Linked DNA regions of Struthio camelus. The main gene of each other region encodes a partner of the protein of the gene in region 2 in a complex. Links are inferred from orthologs where the notes say so. Each region holds a gene or a part of one and is shown on either strand. Other genes may lie near its edges.

Region 1 (10,632 bases), on a different chromosome or scaffold from region 2:
AAGGTTCCACAATTAATAGCACATTTATGCACTGCAGGATTACCTAGTACTGTGAATGTGACCTGGATCAATTACATGTACGTGACCACACTTCTGTTTTGTTAGGCAGAGTATTTTGTTAGTGGTTTTTATTAGCCAAAGCGTGTATTAGAACTTGTGCCAGGCCTTCACAAGCTGCTGCTGCAAAAAAAAGATTATACCTGATCCAGTATGAAGTGAGGGTAGCACGAACCAGACAATACTTGAATCATTACAAACTACCCTGGTAAAAAGTTATAGATCGTAACTTCTGAATAAATAGGAACCAGAAGAAAGAATTTAAATCAAATCAGTTTTTTGCATCACGTGGCTTCAGTGTTTTCCATTAGACATTAGAAGCTCTGTAACTAGATTTATTGTATCAAGCCACAGTAAGGAAGTCATCTCACAGTAGGGGAGGATACTGTTTATAATAAGGGCATCTCATTCCCCTCCCCCCCCCCCCGACAAATACTTCGTTAACCAAAATCAGGCACTGATGTTGAAAGTGAAGAACTCGATGTTACAGCACTAAAAACATGTAACACTCCAAACTTTAAGTCTATATACATACAGAGATAAAGTATACAAATTAAACCAGGACCTCCAGCTATTTTGCTTTAAAAAAAAAAATCCCAAGATCATACCCAGCAATACCAGTATGTTATTGCAGTGGTAAGCCCAGATAAACAGTATTACAGGACTAATTTTTAAAGTTGTAGATCCTCGCATTAGAAATTGTTAAGATGGACCTGAGTCAACTGAAGTATAAATGCCTAGATACTTATTATGTAGCTACACTAGAACAGCAACATACATGAATGGAACTCCTGAGCACTACACATCGGAATTCAGAGTCTGAAATACTAAGGGTTTAGACAGCAAAATAGTCTAACTGTTTAATATTTATTTCCCAATCAACACAATCGTTATTTCTGGAATGGTCTAAAACAAAAGCACTCAAAGCAGTATTTCCAATATGCTTAAAGTATTTGTTCAGACAAGTGAGAAACAGCAACACTTACACTAAAAGCATATTTTTCTCCCACACACAGCTTCAGCATTTGCTTTGTTCAGAAGCAATCTCTAACCTACCATGTAACGCTATTTCAAATTGTTGGTATCCTAAGAGCAACGTTTAATGCAATGAGCATGCCACACCCCTTGGAAGAATGCCATTCACTAAAGGCATATTCACATATGCTTGTATTTTTCTTAAAGAAAATTTTGGCTACAAAAAAGTAAATTAAATTCATTCACAGCAATCTACATGAAAGCTTCATTCTCCTTTCCTGTCTATATGTTATAAGCAGCAATACTGGAATTCTTCCAAGAAAATTCAAAAGCAACAAATAAAACTACTATTAAACAGTAGTTCCCTTATTTAAGCTACAACTGTTACTTCATCTGGCTGTTCTACGGAAGAATTAATTGAAAAGACTGGAAAATAACAAGTGTTTCCCCAGTATTATACCAATATCTAAAATGCCAGTCTTCGTAGTTTTTTTTTTGGTTTTGGGGTTTTGTTTTTCCCCCCCCCTCTTCAGTGAGGATCTTTTGCTAAAATAGTCTGTGACTTCATGTTTTGGGAGCAACTGCAAGGCTGTTTGCTGTATCATGCATAGTAAAAATATGGTGATAAATACCTGTAACTGAAATTGCCCATTCAAATTTCTACTATAACAGAAGCACACTGTTTTCATACAGCACCTTCATGCCAATTACCCAGCAATTTTAAAAACATCAGATATGTTAAGTCCAGAGTTTCGTGTTTTTTGTTTTTGGGTTTTTTTTTTTTTTTAAGAATCGTTTGAAATCAAAACATTTTGCTTTGGGAATAGGTATCTGAGTTACAACACTGATTTCCTGTTGAAGGAAGTCTACCATCTCTGCAACATAAAAGATACTTTTGATATCTTACTCTATACAGAGAGAAATTTCTCTAAACAGCTGTTGTTTATAATCACTGAAAATGAAGGAAAAATTAGTGGCGTGGGAACAGACAGCCCACATAATAACATTTCATAGCAGCTTAAGCTCCGACTTGCAAAATTTAGATCAAACTTTAAAAGAGCGTTCTGGAAATTACCATGTTAGAACGAACACCTATGAAGGGCATTTAAGTAACTACTAGATATGGTATTATAGGCACACAATTACAATAAGTGAACAGCTTGAAATGTTAAACTGTTGCCCTTTAAATTCAGCTTTGCTGAATTTGCTTGTTGTATTTTTTTTTGAAGTATAATGTCTATAATATAACATTCTTTCATAAATACTCAAAATTCAGCTCACTTAAGAAGTGCTAACAAGTTTCCAATTACAGAAGCTCATCATTATACACCTTATTAGAGAGCAAAAACAGTATTAACAAAGAGAATATTGTGACTCAAGATGAAGTGAAGTAAAACAATATTTGGACAGTTTAAAAAGACAACTAGACATGCATACTAGTTATAGATACACTTTATTTACATATATCCTGAAGCGCAGCAACTCTTATTCTGCTCATTTCTTGTCGCATGTATGTTCAGGGAGCCACACAGACACCATAGTTCAGTGGTTATGTGGAAATATAACTATCACGAATTCTAGTAACATATTAAAACGCAGCTTCTTCATTTTAATGCCTAGTATATTTGTTATTGAGATACTCAAAAGTATTTCTGCTTTAGAATTGGGTTGGTCCTGGTATATGCAATGCCATAATACCATCAAGTTATAAATGACTAACAATTAAAAAAACCAGAGTAAAATAAAGGTCTTTTCACAGCCCTCGCTTAAGGAATGTGACATGTATCAGTCTGAAAATAAGACCATTTCTGTCGTAAGAATCAACCCCCTTAAAGCTGCTCTCTCATACCAGAATCATCTCATGTCTTTAAACAGCACCGTTCTCAAGGGAAACCCAATACCTCTTGGGGCCTTTTGGCGTTCACAAAGAACAGATCAACAAGACTCTAAAATCAGTTGTAAGCAGATACAGCAAAGACACTGCTCAACATTTACTAACATTACCTTTAAAATTCAGATGATGGGAGTATTTTGTTTAAAGAAAAAGGGACTAGACATTTTACGTTTTACCATTCTGTAATTTTATTTATGTACCAGTACAGACAGGTCAGTACAAATAACTTTCATTGCTCGGTTTTGAGAGAAGCTGAATTGCGACTGTACCTTGTGGTTTAAACACATTTCAGTATTCATATGTGTAAGGAATGCAGTGAGAATGCTTATCCTACAAAGAAGAGGCAAAAAGGCAGCATTACAGCTCGGGAAGCGGACTTTACGCACTGTGCGGCTTTTATACCCGAATGCAAGTACTACACCGTCTTTGAATCAGAGCACCCATGTTTGTGGGTGAGGCCTCTGTTCGGGCGTTTATCGTGAGGCGAAAGAAACGTCTAGAAAAGGAAGGGGCTCTCTCTGCCGTGCGCGGTTTTCCCAGGCTCCCCCCACCCTCCCAACTGCTCGTGTGTGCCAGCCGGCTAGGGCTGGAAACGCACCCCAAGGTCGCACCCGGGATCCCACGCTAACTCCCAGCGGCCGGGGGCAGGGAGACACGCGCATCTCGGGCTGGGGTGGGGAGACGCTCCGCCAGGTTCCCGCCGCCGCAGGGGCGAGGCGGGCAGCATTCAAACTGCCCTGCTGCGCGCCGGATTGGCGGGGCAAGCGGGGAGGAGAGGGGACAGCCACACCCCCGAGGCAGGGACAGCAGAGGGAGCGGGAGGGCTGCGAAGGAGCAGCTAGGGGAGAGAAAGAAATAAGGAAGGGGGAGGGGGAAACCTGGGTCCGCTTTGGACCGGCTACTACTCATCGCTGCTCTCGCCGAGGCAGGTAGCAGCCGGCGCCGCCCCGCACGGCGCTAAGGCGTCCCAGCGGAACAGCCTCGCTCCCGCCCCCCTTTCTTCAGGGCGACGGGTGGGACCTGGCGGCTCGCACCCTCCCCAGGACCCAACTCCGCCTCGGCCCAGCCCGCACTTCCTCTCCCATCCTCCCCCGTCACTACCCCCGCGGCAGCACTCCTCCCCGGGTACGACCCACAGCCGCCACGCTGCCAGCCCCACTCACCGCCTTCATGGCCGAGGCCATGTCGTCGTATCTCTCCGCCTGCTCGGCCAGGCGGGCTCGCTGCAGCAGCTGCTCTCGGTCCCCCATGGCCGCTTCCGTGGTGGCTGCCGGGCTGGGCACTCTGCGCCCCTCAGAGAGAGAGGAAGGGGGGAACCTGCGCCTCGAAACGCGCGGGCTTGCGGTGCGAGTATGCGACTGCGCGCAGGGAACCGAAACGGAGCCGCCGCCGCCTCACGCTCGCTCGCTCGCTCGCTCGCTCAGCGACCGCTGGGCTCGTCTCAGCTGCCGCTCACCCCGGCCGCGCTAGCCAGGCGACGCTGGGCGCCTCGCGCTCGCTGGCCGCGGCAAGGCGGGTAGCCGCGCGCTCGCTCCGTCCCCTCCGCGGCGTGCACAGCTCGCGCCTCTCCGCCCGGCTCGGAGCCTCGCGCTGCTGCTGCCGCCGCCTGCGCCTGCGCGCTAGGAAGGCAACGAGGGGGCGGAGTTGAGGGGACTGCAGGGGAGGGGAGGGGGGCGCTGCTCCCCCGCGTTCTATTTCTAGGTGACGTCACTTGCTATAAATAGCCATCCCGGGGCGCCGGCTGGGGGGGGGGGGACGCATGCGCGCTGCGAGTGCTGCATTTTACTGCTGCAAAGGTGGAGGTGGGCAATGGGCGCGGGCATTGCAGGGCCGGGCCGGGCGGCGGCGGCGGCGGCTGCTCCTCTCCTCTCCTGCACCCCGCACCCGGCCCAACTCGAAACGGCTCACAGAAGGGTCAGTTACCGCCCAGTTCGCCGCCTGTCCCTACCCTGCCCTCCAGGCATCATCGCAAAGGAAGAGCCGCTCAAGCAGAGCGTGCGACCACCTGAGCTGTCTGTCCTCCCTGTGCAGCTACGCGCTGTTTACGCGTGTGCCATTTTGCCTACACGCCATGACTGCTTTATGCTACCGTGTCTTTTCAGCACAAGCTTTATCTTGCTGCATTTGTACGGCTGTGTCTCGCTCCAGTTAAATAAACGTATCTCTCATCCCAGCTGCTTTGAAACATTCCTAGTTGTGAGGGTGGTAAGTATAGGCCAATTCTGTTGTTACCTTGCCTGAGTGATTCATCTAAATTCTGTTTTACTGCGTTTTTTAATTCATAATGGTCAGGCTCTTCTTTAGTAAACTAACAAAATACCAGCCCTACATAAAAATCATCTTAAAAGAACAATGCTGCACAAATGACACAGCTGCTGCTGGTATCTGCAAAAATGCTAGCATGCATGCATGTTGCTTTTCTTTATGTGAAGTCATAGACATTTTAATCTGTTTCTGCTCAATCCACAGCATTTAAACATCAGCACACCATTTTACATATGGGGAACTGCTGCACATCTGAGTGAAAGATTTGCTCATGATCAAACAGTTCAGCATCACAGCCTCAGTACCACAACACCTATATAAATTTAAGTCCACATCTGTTCTTGTCACCAGGAAGAGGAAGGAGTGCACGTTAGCATGCACCAGAGGCAGGGGACCAATTCTGGTCTCACTAACGACATTAGTCTCCCGTTATCGTCAGTACTATTGCATTGTTGTAATCGAGTAAATCTGGTCCAGTGTGTCAGCCAAAAGTTAAAGCCTTAACCCTGGCATTACGGGGTTTTGAGAGTTTCAGACAGAGTTAACCCTGGAAGTCACATAAAATAAATGCTGTCATTAATTTTTTAAAGGGATTAGATGAATATTCAAATAAATTCAGTTGTTTATTTCTTAAAGGAGATGAATGAATATTGTGAAAAATAAGAATACAGGGAAGTCATGTGTAATAAAATATAGAAGATAAAAACTTCACGTAGCAACGTGTAAACTGATTGCCACAAGATTAAGGAAGTAACTTTCTTCTCTTTGCAATACTGTGAAGTACATAGTTATAGATCTGCAAGCTGAATAGTGCCTTTTTCCTACCTCATTTTTTGTGGTTTTTAAGAGAAGACAGTGACATGTAAAATCTTAACAGAATGGATCCCAAGTATCAGTCCAATTCGTTATCCTCGTTAAAGGAAAACTTTTTTTGATTTTACCTAAGTATAAAGTTTTGTCCATGGACTGTAAGACTATGTTCTTGAAAAGGCATGATTCAATTTAAAAATACAGATTTTAAAGTATCTAATACCCTATGCAACAATGGTAAGAGATGGGCTAAACCAAAATCCTCAATCCAATTCTTAAACTTTGGAAACTTTGCCGTTTAGACCAACGCCTTAGTAAAGATTAATCCATCTGGCACAGTGTGCCAACAGTTGTGAAAATTTGTAGGGTGTAGAAAATACTTTCCAGTCTTGTACAGCAGTTTCAGCCTCCTGAGGGAAACAGATTATGAAGTATTTTTAAAACCAGTTATATTCATTTACCCACTGAATCAGAGAATCTACATTAATCTTTCAGATATATGTGGATATACCCACACAAAAAAATATTCTCATGAAATACTTTGGGTTTTTTTCTAATTGAAGCCTCTGTGTAAACGGCCATTTTTCGGTCTAAAGCGTCTCAAAAATTCTTAACCTCGAACCCGCAAGGTGGTACGTCACATCATTGCTTTAAAATCAGATACACGTCTAAATCCAACATTAGCAAGAAAAAGCGGTAAAATCAGGCAACCTTTTACAAAGCATTCTATAGCGTGATTGTAAACAAAGTAATTAGAGCACATTTCAAACAGACAAGGTCTTTTGGAGAGTACCTATTTTCCCTTGCGTGTACAGCACCTAGTGCCCTCAATCCTCCGCAGTAACAGTGGCTCCCAGGAGCTATAAAGGTACAAATAAAAAACAATTAGTGCTCATGCAATGGGTTTCCATCTGCTACAACGTTTGGAAGTTTATTCACAACGTCTTTAAAATAAAAATGGAAAGGAAATGAAAAAGTCAGCCAACCCTTTCCTACAGCGCTGAACGGGGTGCAACATGTTACCAAGCTCTGTGGTTCTCCTGCAGAGCTCAGATGCCCAGCGTCGTACATGACACTACGCAGCTCTACGATTCCCAGCAAAGTCCAGACAGGAGCTCAGAAATACTGTTCTCATGAGGCAGGATTTGAGTTGTTGGTGTAGTTACCACACCCAGCAAGAATTTGTAGATGGAGAAACTTCTGGTACTGAAAATTGCACCATGACCTAAGGCAGTGGCTCTGCTCCACTGGCATGTCTGATTATTGGACAGCACCGATGTTCCACAAATAGCTCCTTGCCGAAATGCCATTCGAGTTCACCGCTCAGCTCCGCACAGGGGCACTGGGGACAGCAAAGCACTCCCAAAGAGATTGTCCCCAATGCCGACATTTAGCTGAGGGGACAGGGCTATGAGGCATACTGGTGTAGAGGAAGCATGACAGGGAAACTAAGTGCTGATAGCGATGCCATACCAGAGCCTTTCAGTCTTCCACCACTGCCAAAGGCCATTTTCTTTGGTTATTCTGGCAACGGCGAGCAAGGATCACACTTTTCGCATCCTTCTTCCTGAGCCTCATGGAACTAAAGAAGTGGTAGTGAAAAATCCCTGCTGTTAATATTCTCCTCATTCCTGGAGAAAGCGATATATTCTCTCTTTCTCTGAAGCAAGGAAGCTCTACTCTTTTTTATTTAGGGCTTTTTTTTATTTAGGGCTCTGCTAAATGATACTGAGTCTTAGGGACAAGGCACTGAAAACCAGAGAGGGCGCAGACTCAACTGCCAAGTGCTGGAGGAGGATGACCAGCTCCCACATCACAGCAAAGGGAGCAGAGATGGGGATGGTAGAGAAAGAGAGCTGGGGAATCTGGGGGCACCTGATCTTAGAAATACTGGGGCTGGCACTTAAGTGGGGGCAGGATGTTCAGACTGTGCGGTAAGGACAGATTGTTTCACAGGCTTAGGACTATCTATAATTTTTATTGTTAGAATCCTGGCAGCACATCCCCGCAATAAAGTGAGATAAGTGCACATCAGGGAGGGAAGGTGTTGTAACCAATGACAAGATCAGAGCAGAAGATAGCAGTGGGTGTAGCTGAAGTGTGATGATTCCTTCTCAAACCACAAGGGACTATAATTTCAATGATGTATTTCTAGCCAAACCATACACCATAGTTTAACAAGCAGCAAAACCCTCTGGGCTGTCACAGTGTGTGTGAAAATATTCTACTATTTGTCATATTTCAATTTCATATTAATCTGTAATCATTCTCACAGAACCTCCCTCATAACTCAAAGGTAAAATCTAGAAGGAAGGCAGAAAGATTACACTGCCTGAGCGCTGCTCAGAACCAGCAGGGTTCCTGCTGTGAATTGTGGTAAAGTACACTACACACCTATTCAGCAATGGGGGGAAGATCCTTTGAAGAGAAGGGTAGTGATTTGTGCAAAATCCGTGAAGCGCTTGCTCCCTCATGGGAATGGCTTAGGTCTGTATGCAGAAACCTACTTGCAAACACTGCAATATATTTAATACCACTCAGCATTCATACGCAGTAGCCCTTTGCATGTTCAAAATCCTGTGCAGACAGGAGTTGGTAAATCCTCTGAACTCTCCCATGAAACGTGTGCTATATTCAAGCACTTGCTCATTTCAGAGTCCAGTGAAGAATGAGCACTATGTCTGAATAAAAAATTATGGCAGTGTTTTTGCTTGCCAGAATGATTCAGGGATATGCACAGGAGGCTGTGAAGCATGCTCAGTTATGGAGGTTTGTGTAAGTGGCAAGAACACAGTAGCTAACAGAAAGCAGCTTTAACTCTTACAAAGCTGCTTCAGACCAGAGTCTTTGCCATAGTCCTGTCCAGATAGAGGAATGTGTTTTTATTCTTTACATAATTAATCAAATGAAAGTAACTCAAATTTACAACAATAAACAGGAAAACAGGAAAACGCCTGCTTGTCAGAAACCTTGAGCAGAACGCCATATAGAAAAAAGCCTCTACAAGTTAACAAGAAAAAAAAAGTGACTATTGCAAGTAAAAAAAAAACAGTCCTACCAAACCGCACGGTTTTTCAGAGGTGCTGAGCATTTGCAGCCTACAGATAAGGTCAGAACGTAGATGCCCAGCATTTCCGGAATCACCCCCAAGACGCATCACGCTGTGCATACACAATTAAGGACTCTGAATCAATGGCCAGATTTAAGAAATAAGTCCAGATTTTCTTAACAAATGAATTTCTACTGCTCTTCAAACTTTACCAAAGTGGGTTAGCTTGACTTAGAATTGGATTAAATTCCCCTGAAAATGATGGATCTGAAACAATCACCTTTCACTACAGAAAATTACATGAAAGACTTTGGAGATGAGTCTAATGAAGCGCAGAGATAAACGAAAATGCTTTTGCCAAAATCTTCAAAAGTGGCCTCTTATTCTGGGTGCCCTACTTGAGTTGATGCATAAGTGCTCGTTTCCTCTGAAAATGAGGCCCCAAGCAAGTCAAGCCAGGCATCCAGAATGAGAGACTGCCTGAAAATATTGCCCTTCAAGTTGTCTGCCCTGCCATTTGTCCGGAGCGGGCCTCAGACCAGCCCATGCCGTAACTGTGAGAGCTGACAGGGACTGTGAAGGGGACTGGAAAGCAAAAGCAACTTTTCATGTGATTAATCCCCTTTAGCACTGTAGCAGATTAGGTTCAGAGAAGTTTTTCAGGGGCAGCTGCAGCGCGCAAGTCCTCCATACTGCCATTTCTATACCACACATCTAACTCGGCAACAGCTCAGTCTTGACCTTGCCAGCCTTAGGCCCATCTGCTGGAACTGCCAAGAGGAAAGCTGATTCTAGCAGCAGCCCTGGAAAATCTGACTGCCTGCCCATTGGGAAAACGGCTCTCTCACCTCAGAGACGGCTAATTAACAGAGCCTCTGAAGACGCTCCTAGATTTCCATCCCTTTTCTGTAATCATTTGACATGCGCAAGTTTGGTTCTTTGGGCTCTCCTATGAATTTAAAGATAAAAATGGCTTTGTTTTTTTCTATCTAGGACAAGCTCCTTCCTTTGTTAGGCCATGCCATGCTAAGGGGGAGGAGGAATGACAACAGCAGGTACAGCACGTTCAGCTCAGGGCAGGTCAGCCACGTGCTCAGAGCACTTCTAATTACAGCTCCGAGGAAGAAGAATATAAACACATCCAGAGCCTGCTACATATGGCAGGACAGGGAAACTAGAACAAGGCTAGGATATAAATCACAGCTAGGAAATGAGAACAAGGTAAGACATAAACTAAACAATTCAAGTGCAAACCCAGTGTGAATGTAATATGATTTGAAGAACTCCACCACGCTGTCCCACGAGACCGTCTCAACTCGGCACCACAGGCGCAGAAGGCCAAGTGCACTGGCTCTAAGCACAGATTCACTTGATCTCTTCCTCTGTTGTACAGCTATGCATCCACTCTGTGCCAGCTCATGGATGGGGAAGTGACAGCCTGTGTCTGAACTCTGCTCAGCTACCTGTATCTCAGCACGGTCAGATTTTGTGACATCATCTGCAAGCATAGCTTGCAAATTCTTCTCCAAAAGCAATTAGCTCCGCTAAAGTGTTTCATGCAGGTTCAACATCCAGGTAGCAT
Region 2 (10,183 bases):
AGGATGCATGCGGGAGCAGCCTGACATACCTTCCATCTCAATTGTCCATATGTGAGTAATCCCATAGGGCAAATATTTCATTCACATTCTCTTTGCCTTCATTTTATGATGTGGATTTTCCCCTCATGGCCATTTACTTTTCTCCCTCTGCTGAAAAGCAAGAAGACTGGAGTCTCGGAGTCTGCGGCTTTGTGTTTAGTCACTGCCTACAGAGTCACTGCAGATGGTATCTGCTCAGTCCTACCAAATGTTAGATGGCAAGTATTAAGAACAAAAAAACCCTCATAAAACTACTTCAGAAATGCTTTACAAAATAAGCCCTGTGATCCTAGTGGGAATGAGAGGTGACAACGCAGTTGAGGGTCCTACTCCCAAATTTTATCTAATTTCCGCTTTAATTTACAAAGTGCGTATTTTACTGTCATATAGGGCAAGGGGAAATGTCTGTGCTTCCAAATTCCTCCAAAAAGATCGTTTCATAGAGGGCCTGGCCCTTTTAATTATTATTTTTATAAATTTGTTTTAATCAGACTGTTCCAGGGCAGGGAAGGCTTATTTTCTCAGTGGGGCTCTGTGTACAAGATAGACAGGATTAAAGACCAGGACCAGTCACTGAATAAGAAAATCACTGAGTTGAGAGAAACAGCTGGAGATATGCCAGAAATTCTGGCAAGAGATGCTTCAGTGAGTGAGTGCATTCACTCGGATGAGGGGGCCAGAGGATAGCTCTTGAAAAACAGTCCCTGAATTAGCTTTCAGTCTTGTTATCTGGCAGTGAACGTTACAGCTTTCACAAGGAGAAGTATGTTTCTCAGTCCTGCCCAGTGTCCTTACAGTGATGGCATACTGGATGTTGCTGGGCTGCGTAAGAAAGATTATCAGGGCTCTGGTGAATGAAACCTGTTACTGAAGGCTTGAAATGTTCTTTTTCCTTACCAGCTATTGCTTTTGGCACGCAAACAAAATTGACAGTGCAAGAGGTAGGTTGCCAGCAAAGTAATAATGAGAAAAAGGATTGAACTTAGCTTAACTTTCAAAAAGTGACTGATTTACATTAATGGTTTGCCAGGAACAAAGAGAATGTGCTGGACAATTTGCATTATGCAGAACAATTGCGTATCCAATGCACAGAGAAGTGAAAAATGTGACACAGGCTCAATCCTGCAAAGAATTTTATTCTTTCCACTGGTTGGTGAAGACTGCTAATACCTTTGCAGGATCAGGCCTTGTCTGAACTGCTCTTTAAACTCAGGACTTCAATTCTTTGAGCAGTTAATGGAATAAGGTCAAACTATCAAATAAACACTACATCTCTTGGAGGTGCTGTTTACATCTTTCTTCAGAAGTCATTTGCGGCTCCTTAGTAAGTTGTACTCACTACCTTTTTTGTGTCCTCTTCAATAAAATGTGTGTAGCTCTTGGCAATGAAGCTTATGCGCTCATAAAATCTGAGTAATTTTGTGCTAAATTCTAATTAAGAAGTTTAATTGAGCCTCGAGTTGCTACTATGTCTATGTGAGCAGCAGCTGGGGACCACCTAATCATTAAGAGATCTGTGCTACTTTCCTTTTGTTTATTTAAAGAGTTCTTTGTGACACTGTTCTTCCCTTATGAGAAATTTCCTTGAAATATTGGGCAGTGAATGAAAATAGCATGTAGAGCTTTTGGCTACTCCCAGACAACCATCTAAGTACTCTGAAAGTGATATTGAAGCTCTCTCTTTCTGCCTTAGGTCAAAATCCTTTCATGTGCTGCACAGAAAAAAAAAGCAAAAATTCTTCTTTATTCTTGAAAGCCTTTAATATGAGAAAGGCTAAACTGTCACAAGAAACATGTTATTATTAGAGAGATTTCACCACCATTATTTTTCACCATGTCCTTCACTTTCAGACTTTGTTATATATCAACAAATCCAATGTCTATCATCTTGCAGTGGTAGAAAGTGGCATTCATGTTAAGATCAGAGCCCTACAATGAGACTTTGAGCTCACTGTACTGGTAAACATCCAGAGCAACTTTGCTGTAATCATTAAAGTTATTCTGGTGTAACTCAGATCAGACTTTACATAAAGTGTTCAGTGCCAGAGAAGAATCAATTGCACTAGAGTAAATTAAGCAGTAACTCAGAAGGCCAGATTTTTCAAATGTCATTCCCCCGCCAAAGCCTATTTAGCCAGGCTTACATATAATTACAGCACACAATAGTCTAGCTTCTACCATATTTCAAAGAGTTTGCATCTTGGTTTTGTTAAGGGCCCAGTTCTGCTGAAACAGTTTCAAGTGATAAGATTATTCCGGTACGCAGGGCTTAACCTTGGAAAACAAAGAATGATTTGAAATACGGAGTTCACCCTTCCTTCTCTTCGGGCATACACATGCACACACAGACAGCTTTCGCTTTCCTCACATTTTAAGCCATCCAAACCAGTAATCTTGCTAAGCAAAGTCTATATTCACGTTCTGATATTTTTAGGAAGTCTTTCCTAGCACAATACCAAGTACCAGTAAATGTGCTGTTTTCATTCAACCACTGTTCTGTATCTGCCCCCTACTGGCGAAGCGTGACACGTTCAAGAAACCCAAGGCCAAAATACCGTCTATGCACACAAATTGGACTCTTTCACCTAAACCACTGCAGTTCAACAGAACAGCTTTCTGCTGTTGTTGCTCTTCCCACACAGGTGTAACAGCTTTTGTTCTAAAGGCTGCACCAGCAGAAAAAGTACAGAGAAAAAACACACCCGAAATGAAAATAGTTGCATTGCATTCATACAACATCTGTCTCGGCCACTTCTAACACGCTGATGAGATGCGGAAGCAAAGAAAAGCTTTCTCACCTCCCAAATCTATGTTTTTTCAAAACCAGCTTTATAATGGTTTATTAGAGGAACCTGGCTTCCACTGAATTCTCACCAGCTGGTATGTATCTTTTTACTTCTCATAGATGATTTAGATTCCTTTAAGATATCTATGATATTTCCAAATAAATTTGGGTGCACATCTGAAATCACTTAAGATTAAAAGTATAGCAGCATTCTGAAAAGGCAGGATTGAGCAAGCAGCAGTATCATGGCCAAGTAACATGGTTTGGGACTAGCCACAGACACGTTACAGTTACGCAATCTGTATCATGTACACAAGTGTTGGCCGAGATGTGCGTTTCAACCAATGGAGATGTATCAGAGTTTATTTTCAATGGGACAGGAAGTCCTAGTTTACATCACCTGGCTTTGCTGAGACAGAATTGGGCCTGTTGTATCAAAACAGAAGCTGAAACTCCTAACGTTTTACTTCTTCACATACCAATGTAAAGCACAACTTGCAGACATTTTCCCATTGTACGTTTGTAGCACATGCGGGACAGTGCTCTCCCCCCCCCCCCCCCCCCCCCCGAGGAACAACGACCTCCAAACTAGGGCTCATCATCTTAAGTGTGGACACAAACCAGGAGCTGCAAATAAAAGTGCCAGTGCACCCCTGCTGGCAAGTGCACCCCGTCAACACTGTTTAAACGAGAGGCTGATTTGGGGTTTTTTTAGACAAACCAAAAAATCTTAAACCATTAAGATGTCTGAATCTGTTCCAGAATTAGACTTAAGAGCTGAACTCATCCTTATTTATGGCCTAACTAATGATTTCTGCTATGAATGCTCTTGAACTCTGTGAAAAATTAAATACAGACCTGAGTTGAAATCCTGACAATGCTGAAGTTAAAAAAGGTCAAAATTCACTCTTTGGCTGTGTGTCCTGGGCCTGTTATGCTAAGTGGCGCACACAGCAGACCTGAGCATGCCTTGTGAACGTTAGCTGCTTATTTAACATATGGTGTGACGCTGATACGTTCCTCTGTGAGATGCTGATAACACCCTTGTAAGCCAGAATGCTGCTGAGCACACTTGGCTAAATTGCTCCAGTTAAATGCTTTAGGCTAACAGGAGGAGCCAAAATTCTTACGCAAAATCTGTTCTCATAAATTATCTGACTCCATCAAAGATTTTTCCTCACAAAAGTATGGCACCTTGTTCTTGAGCAGAAGAACGTCAGCCTAGCACGACAACGACAATCCTTACAGCTCTCCACGTTTTCCACGAGTTGAATCTCGCTGGTTACGTCACCTGCCCTCTGCGCTGCGGTAGCCTCCTTTGCCGAACCTGCAGCGTCTGAAACGGCCGGCCGAGAGCCCTCCGGCTGCCAGAGCACCTCCAAGGCCGCCGACAGCGCTGCGCCGGGAAGCTTCAGGTCTAGGAGAGAGATGGGGAGAGCACAGACAAAGGTGTGTGCAGAGTATTACGCAGTTAAAGGATTTGGCAAAAAACCACGGTATGACCTGACAGCGTTTTGGTTCTGCAGATCCTTCAAGAGGATGTAGCCTTTCACCTGGCATCTGCATTACAAACACAAGAAAGGGGGAGGAGGAGGGAAGACAAACCAGAATTAGACCCCATCCAACTTTGATTTCTGTTCCTTGTGTAGCAGAGCCTTATGAAGTAGTCTGACCTCATCTGACCCTATTAGAGTGTAAAGTAATTGCATATCGTCCAAAACAATATCTTTATGATACACCTTTTGGAAAATCTTTTCTAGAGATGCTTATAGCGCATCTATGGAAAGCAGCATTGCAGCCAGGGAACACACGCCCACGCGAGTCAGGTTCCTCCGGCACTTGCCTTACCTTTCCCTTCTTAGTGGGGGCACAAATAAGCTTCACGTTTTAAGCAGATGTTATGAGAAAATGTAAGATATTAAATTTTATAAAGCAGCACAAGCACACTTCCCGGTGAAGTCCTTCCTCGGGCAGGCAGGCAGCTGTCCCCATAAAGGCCGAGGCGCTCACCTCCCCGGGAGCCCCCCGCCTGGGCGGCCCGGCGTGGGGCGGGGCGCGCCCCCAGCGCTGCGGGCACGTGAAATTCCGCGCGCGGGAAAAGAAAAGGGGGGCGGGGAAAGTTTTTGTCCGGCCAGACGCCCTGGGGAGATCAGGTGGTTCCTTTATACCCAAACGCTGTCTGTGGGCCAAGAAGGCAGGACAAAACAAAAAAAAAAACCACTTTTAGTCTCTGCTTTGTGCCTTAGGCACGGACGTACCCTCGCCGGGCCCACGCACGGCCGGGCAGCCCCCGCGTGGCCGGCAGCCCCGGCGGAAGCGGCGGCGGCGGGGGCGGAGCGGCGCGGCCATGGCGGCGGGCGGCGCGGAGGAGCGGCGCCGGGTGTCGGCGCTCTCGGTGTACCGGCGGGCGGCGGGGGCCGGGCGGCTGGAGCGGCGCGGCGGGCGGCCGCTGCCCGCCCGCAGCAAGCGGGCCAAGGCGCGGCCAAGGCGCGGCGCGGCGGGAAGCGGCGGCCAAGGCGCGGAGGCGGCGGCCAAGGCGCCGTCACCCCCCGCCGCCGCCCGCCGCCTGCAGCGGGCCCAGGCGGCGGCCGAGAGCCCCGCGGGGAAGCGGCGGGGCGGCCCCACGCCGGGCCCGGGCGGCCCCACGCCGGGCCCGGGCGGCCCGCCGGCCGAGAGCCCCGCGCCGGGCCCGGGGCCGGGCCCAGCCCCGGCCGGCCCCGCGGCGGCGGAGGGCGGCGGCGGCGTGGCGGGGCTGCTGGCGCGGCTGGGGCGGCTGGAGGACAGCCGGCAGCGGGCGGCCGAGCTGTTCCGGTGGCTGCTGGCGCCGGTGTCGCCGCGGGAGTTCGTGGCGCGGCGCTGGGAGCGGGCGCCGCTGCTGGTGCGGCGCGGCGAGCCCGGCTACTACGCGGGGCTGTTCTCCACGGCCGAGCTGGACGCCGCGCTGCGGAGCGGCGAGGTGCGCTTCGGCACCCACCTGGACGTGACCAGCTACGCCGAGGGCGTGCGGGAGACCCACAACCCCGCCGGCCGGGCCCTGCCCGCCGTCGTCTGGGATTTCTACCAGAACGGGTGCTCCCTGCGGCTCCTCTGCCCCCAGGCCTTCTCCACCACCGTCTGGCAGTTCCTCTCCATCCTGCAGGAGCACTTCGGGAGCATGGCGGGCGCCAACACCTACCTCACGCCGCCGGGCACGCAGGGCTTTGCCCCCCACTACGACGACATCGAGGCCTTCGTGCTGCAGCTGGAGGGGAAGAAGCACTGGCGCGTTTACGGCCCCCGGACGGGAGCCGAGGTGCTGCCCCAGTTCTCCAGCGCAAACCTCACACAGGCTGAACTCGGCGAGCCCGTTCTGGAGGCGGTGCTGGAGGCCGGGGACCTGCTGTACTTCCCCCGGGGGTTTATCCACCAGGGTGACTGTCTTCCTGATGCGCACTCGCTCCACATCACGGTGTCGTCCTACCAGAGGAACTCCTGGGGCGACCTCCTGGAGAAGCTCCTCCCGGCTGCTCTGCAGATGGCCCTGGAGGAGGACGTGGAGTACCGGCAAGGGCTTCCCATGGACTACCTGGGATACATGGGGGTCGCCAACTCGGACGTAGTCGATGCTCGCCGAACAGCTTTTGTGGAGAAGGTGCAGAGTCTGATAAAGAAACTTATCGACTATGCGCCTATTGATGCTGCCGTGGATCAGAGAGCCAAGTCATTTCTTCACGACTGTCTCCCCCCGGTGCTAACACAAAATGAAAAGGCGCTGAGCGTGTATGGATTTCCAGCCCGGTGGCAAGATGGAGGCACCCGCGACGTCGATATACTAATAACGAAAGACACAGAAGTACGCCTCCTCCGGCATGGCATCATTAGACTGTGCAATGAGGAAGCTGGTGTGATGCTGTATTACACGACAGAAAACTCACGAGTGTATCATAAAGAAGAGTGCAAGTCCCTTGAGATAGATCCCGAGTATACAGACAGTATTGAATTTCTCCTGTCTTCTTATCCAAACCATGTCAGTGTGGATACCCTTCCATGTGAAACCTTGGAGGACAAGATTTCTGTAGCCACACTCCTGTTTGAGAAGGGCATTCTGACTACTAAGAAGCCTCTGGTGCAAGTGTAGCTCTATTCTTGAACAAAATAAACATAGAGTTGTTTATAAAGTATTGTCTCCTGCTCTTACCTTACGTCTGCTGCTGAGTGTGAATCAGCGCTTTGGATCTCCGTTTCTGATCTGAGGGTAGAAGGGCTTTGACCTGGGTAGACAAATCAAACATTGTTCTCATTAAAAAAGTGTCTTCTGTTGAACTGTGCACGGTTAAGTGACTAGAGAAGACGGGTGCTTAATTTGTTTTTGCCAACCATATTACTGCATCCTAGGTAACTTCAGGAAGCTAGTGAACTTTTTTGCAGTCTGCAGATCAGCTGGGTGCTTACACTGTTTTAAAGCAGCCTGTGTTACTGTGGGAAGTACTCTCATTACTTAAAGACATATTTGCGGATGGTCACCTAGGAGCCATGCCGAAATTTGGGCTAGCTGGACTGAATTAGAATAGGGCATTCTCTAACAGTTTGTTTTTCCTTGTGTCAGGGTTAGGGGTTTGGAAAGGCAGCTGGGATGGAGGGTGGTGAAGGCTTTCTGCACAGAAGATAAGTTCTCCCTTGACCTTCATATGCTACTTCAGAATTTGGCTTTCATGAATCTGAATGCATGAACCTTACATAATTTTGCTGTGCCTGTTAGGGAGCTACTGACTGACTAGTAGTGCCTCCTCTCGCTGCAGAGGGAGCTCAGAAAACCAAGGGATGTTTTCTTCTGTACTGGCGTAGTTCAGATGAGAAATAGCTCTAAAACTTTTGTATTAGAATTACCAGGAGTGGACTGAAAAACAGCAGTGATCCTCTCCAGGATGTCTTCGCATTCAGAGTCAAGGTCCTCCCTGCTCCAACAGATTCGATTGGCCTTTTGCCGCAGCCAGTCCGTAACCTCTTCAAGTTTCAGTAGTTTCTGGGTCACCAAGTCCTTTTGGCTTAGCCTGAAAATCTGGATCAAATACATTGGCAGGTGAGTGTGACAGTAAGTCCTCTCTCTTAATTGAAAAATTATATTTGGTGCAAATAAATAAACTATTGTTTGGGCCATACAAGTCACAGCACGTTTGTTTCACTCTGACGTGTCATGGGAGAAGCCTAGGTGAGATTATTTACCTCAATAGTTCAAAGTCTTGCAAGTTAATTTAAATCTTCAGATGTGAAAGCACCTGATAAATTTGCTGACGCTTTTTGTGGAAGGTGTCCCCCACTTCCCTGGAATTCCTTTGCTAAGAAAGAAATGATGCTTCCTGTGAGGCAGCTAAGTTATTGTGGCATATAGAAAAGTTACAATGAGTGCGATTTATGTTTCTTCTATACCTAATCAGATGTACCTAATGCTCTGTGGAAAACTTTAAATGCCTGTTAGTTTTCATGTGCTTCCCTCCCCACCCCCAAGCTTAGATATTTTCTCCGAGATGGTAAATACTGTGACCTTATGCCTGGCCATGCCCTGGCGTAAGAGTACCAGATTGAACCTCATGTAGTTCCTAGGCAGTTGCAGAATACCAAAAAAACAACAGTAGTTTTTCACTGAGCTGCTCTCCTTACCTCTTTCTTGATCTCTCTAATCATTTCTTGATCTTCCTCATGGGGAAAATTAAGGATTTTCACAGCTTTTTCCACTTCTCTAAATATAAATGAAATAAAATATAATGATGTGTTATTTGCACATAGCAAATTCTTCAAAAGGAAGAAAGAACCTCAAAAAATTACATGCTTCCTAGATCCGCTAGGTAATACTTCTTTCCTCCAGCTTGCCCTGTAGTGTCCCTATATGGGGTTTCAGCAGGGAGGGCTGAAGGAAATGGCAGTTTGTCCCAGCGTCTCTTTGAGGGATTACAGTGCTCCAGCCTGTGTTACCATACAGACCCTCCGAGGTCCAGCTCTGGTGTGGGTGCTACGGATGCCCTTGTTTGTTCACGTGGCACAAGTATCTAGAACAGAGCAAGAAGTGGCCCTGTGCGAGCTGAGCAGTTAAGGCTGGTGCCCACACGCTGGTTTCGGGTGGGGTTTGGCTTGAGAAGAGCAGAATTGTATAAAAATAGCTTAAGGGGGAAAGGGAAACAAAAAGGAAAGTTGAGGGAGATGCAAATGACTGAATTGTTAGCTGTTACCAGGAACACTGGTGGTGAATCAGTGTTTACATATTCAAAATGTGGTTTTCTAATGGGCAGACTTAAGACTAGTGCATCTCTCTTGGCTCAGATTCAGCAGTTGCCCTATTACAGTGGTGGGGCTGGGATGCAGGCTTTGAGGTGAGAACTTTATAGTAGATAGTCTTTCTCTCTTTCTGTTTTTGTTTTTTGTTTTGGGGGGTTTTTTACCCCCCTCTTCCCCCAGACTTCAAGCATATCTATGACAAATGAGACAGTGATGGATTAACACAGAGAAAAAAACTTGCATCTTTTAAACTTACTATTGGGCAAATGCTGTGGTCAGCCTCATATTACTGTCTAGCTTTCCACGGGCCATGAGCATTTGCTCTGTGGACCGCGGTTTAAGAATTGCAGCCCTGAGGTGCTTCTGTCCTGCCCTCCTTCAGAAATGATGGAAAAACAGAGGAGCTTGCCAGTTCTCCTTGCATGCATAAGGCCTCCAACCATGATACCATGGGCTATGCAGCTCAAGCGAGAGGGCAGGTTTAATGCCTCCTATTTGAAAACTTAGGAAGTGGTTGGAGAGGATTGGGACAGTGGGGGTGAGAGAAGAGCCCTGGAACTTCCTTTCTTCTGTGGTCTCTTCCATAGCATTCTTGGGGCTCCTACAGTGGAGTGTGGAGAAAAACATCTTCCCTACCCTCATCCTGTGATCATCTGCCCAGTGAGCCTGGCTTGCCAGTAACTCCAAGAAGTGTTTTGTATGTATGTCTCCCCTTCTCTACTCTACTGTCATCTTCCAGTGTTTATAAAGAAAGAGGCAGCCTTAGGAAAAAAAGAGTATATGTGCACTGTGCATGTACTCAGAGGCTTACATTCGTATCTATTTATAAGACTATAGTAAGAGAAAGACTTTAGTTTGCCATGGTTATGTGCTCTTGTGGAGTTTAATGACTTACTCTCTGACCATTTCATTTGGCTCCAGAATCAATCTTTCCAATAGCATAGCCCGAACATTTTCATCCTGCAAGTGGAGTCTGGCAATGCAACAGCAGGCTTCTCTCCGTACTTCCGGCTCCTCCTCATAGTGAAGAGCCCAAAGAAGAAGATGCTTCAGCTGAGGACTCACATGGCCTATTTGGCCCAATGCTGTCAATGAAAAGGAAGAAAATAT

The links. The genes of interacting proteins can lie anywhere in the genome.
Region 1: the proteins of NUMB (region 2) and YWHAH are in contact, whole or in part, in a crystal structure (PDB 5YQG), measured with the Mus musculus proteins. The link is inferred for Struthio camelus from reciprocal best matches to the Homo sapiens genes NUMB and YWHAH. Residues at the interface, in NP_001129547.1 of Mus musculus: Gln274, Gly275, Ser276, Phe277; in NP_035868.1 of Mus musculus: Arg57, Arg132, Tyr133, Leu177, Asn178, Val181, Glu185, Ile222, Leu225, Asn229.

What each region holds. Positions count from the first base shown.
Region 1 is NC_090958.1:8,471,727-8,482,358, reverse strand, and holds the start of YWHAH (14-3-3 protein eta), read right to left. Parts: upstream 4,833-10,632; 5' UTR 4,177-4,832; coding exon 4,090-4,176; intron 1-4,089. UniProt on the Homo sapiens protein: Adapter protein implicated in the regulation of a large spectrum of both general and specialized signaling pathways. Binds to a large number of partners, usually by recognition of a phosphoserine or phosphothreonine motif.
Region 2 is NC_090946.1:43,241,463-43,251,645, reverse strand, and holds the start of NUMB (protein numb homolog), read right to left. Parts: upstream 4,040-10,183; 5' UTR 4,019-4,039; intron 1-4,018. Other genes in the region: RIOX1 (ribosomal oxygenase 1), read left to right, coding at 5,172-6,941; HEATR4 (HEAT repeat-containing protein 4), read right to left, coding at 9,965-10,158. UniProt on the Homo sapiens protein: Regulates clathrin-mediated receptor endocytosis. Plays a role in the process of neurogenesis.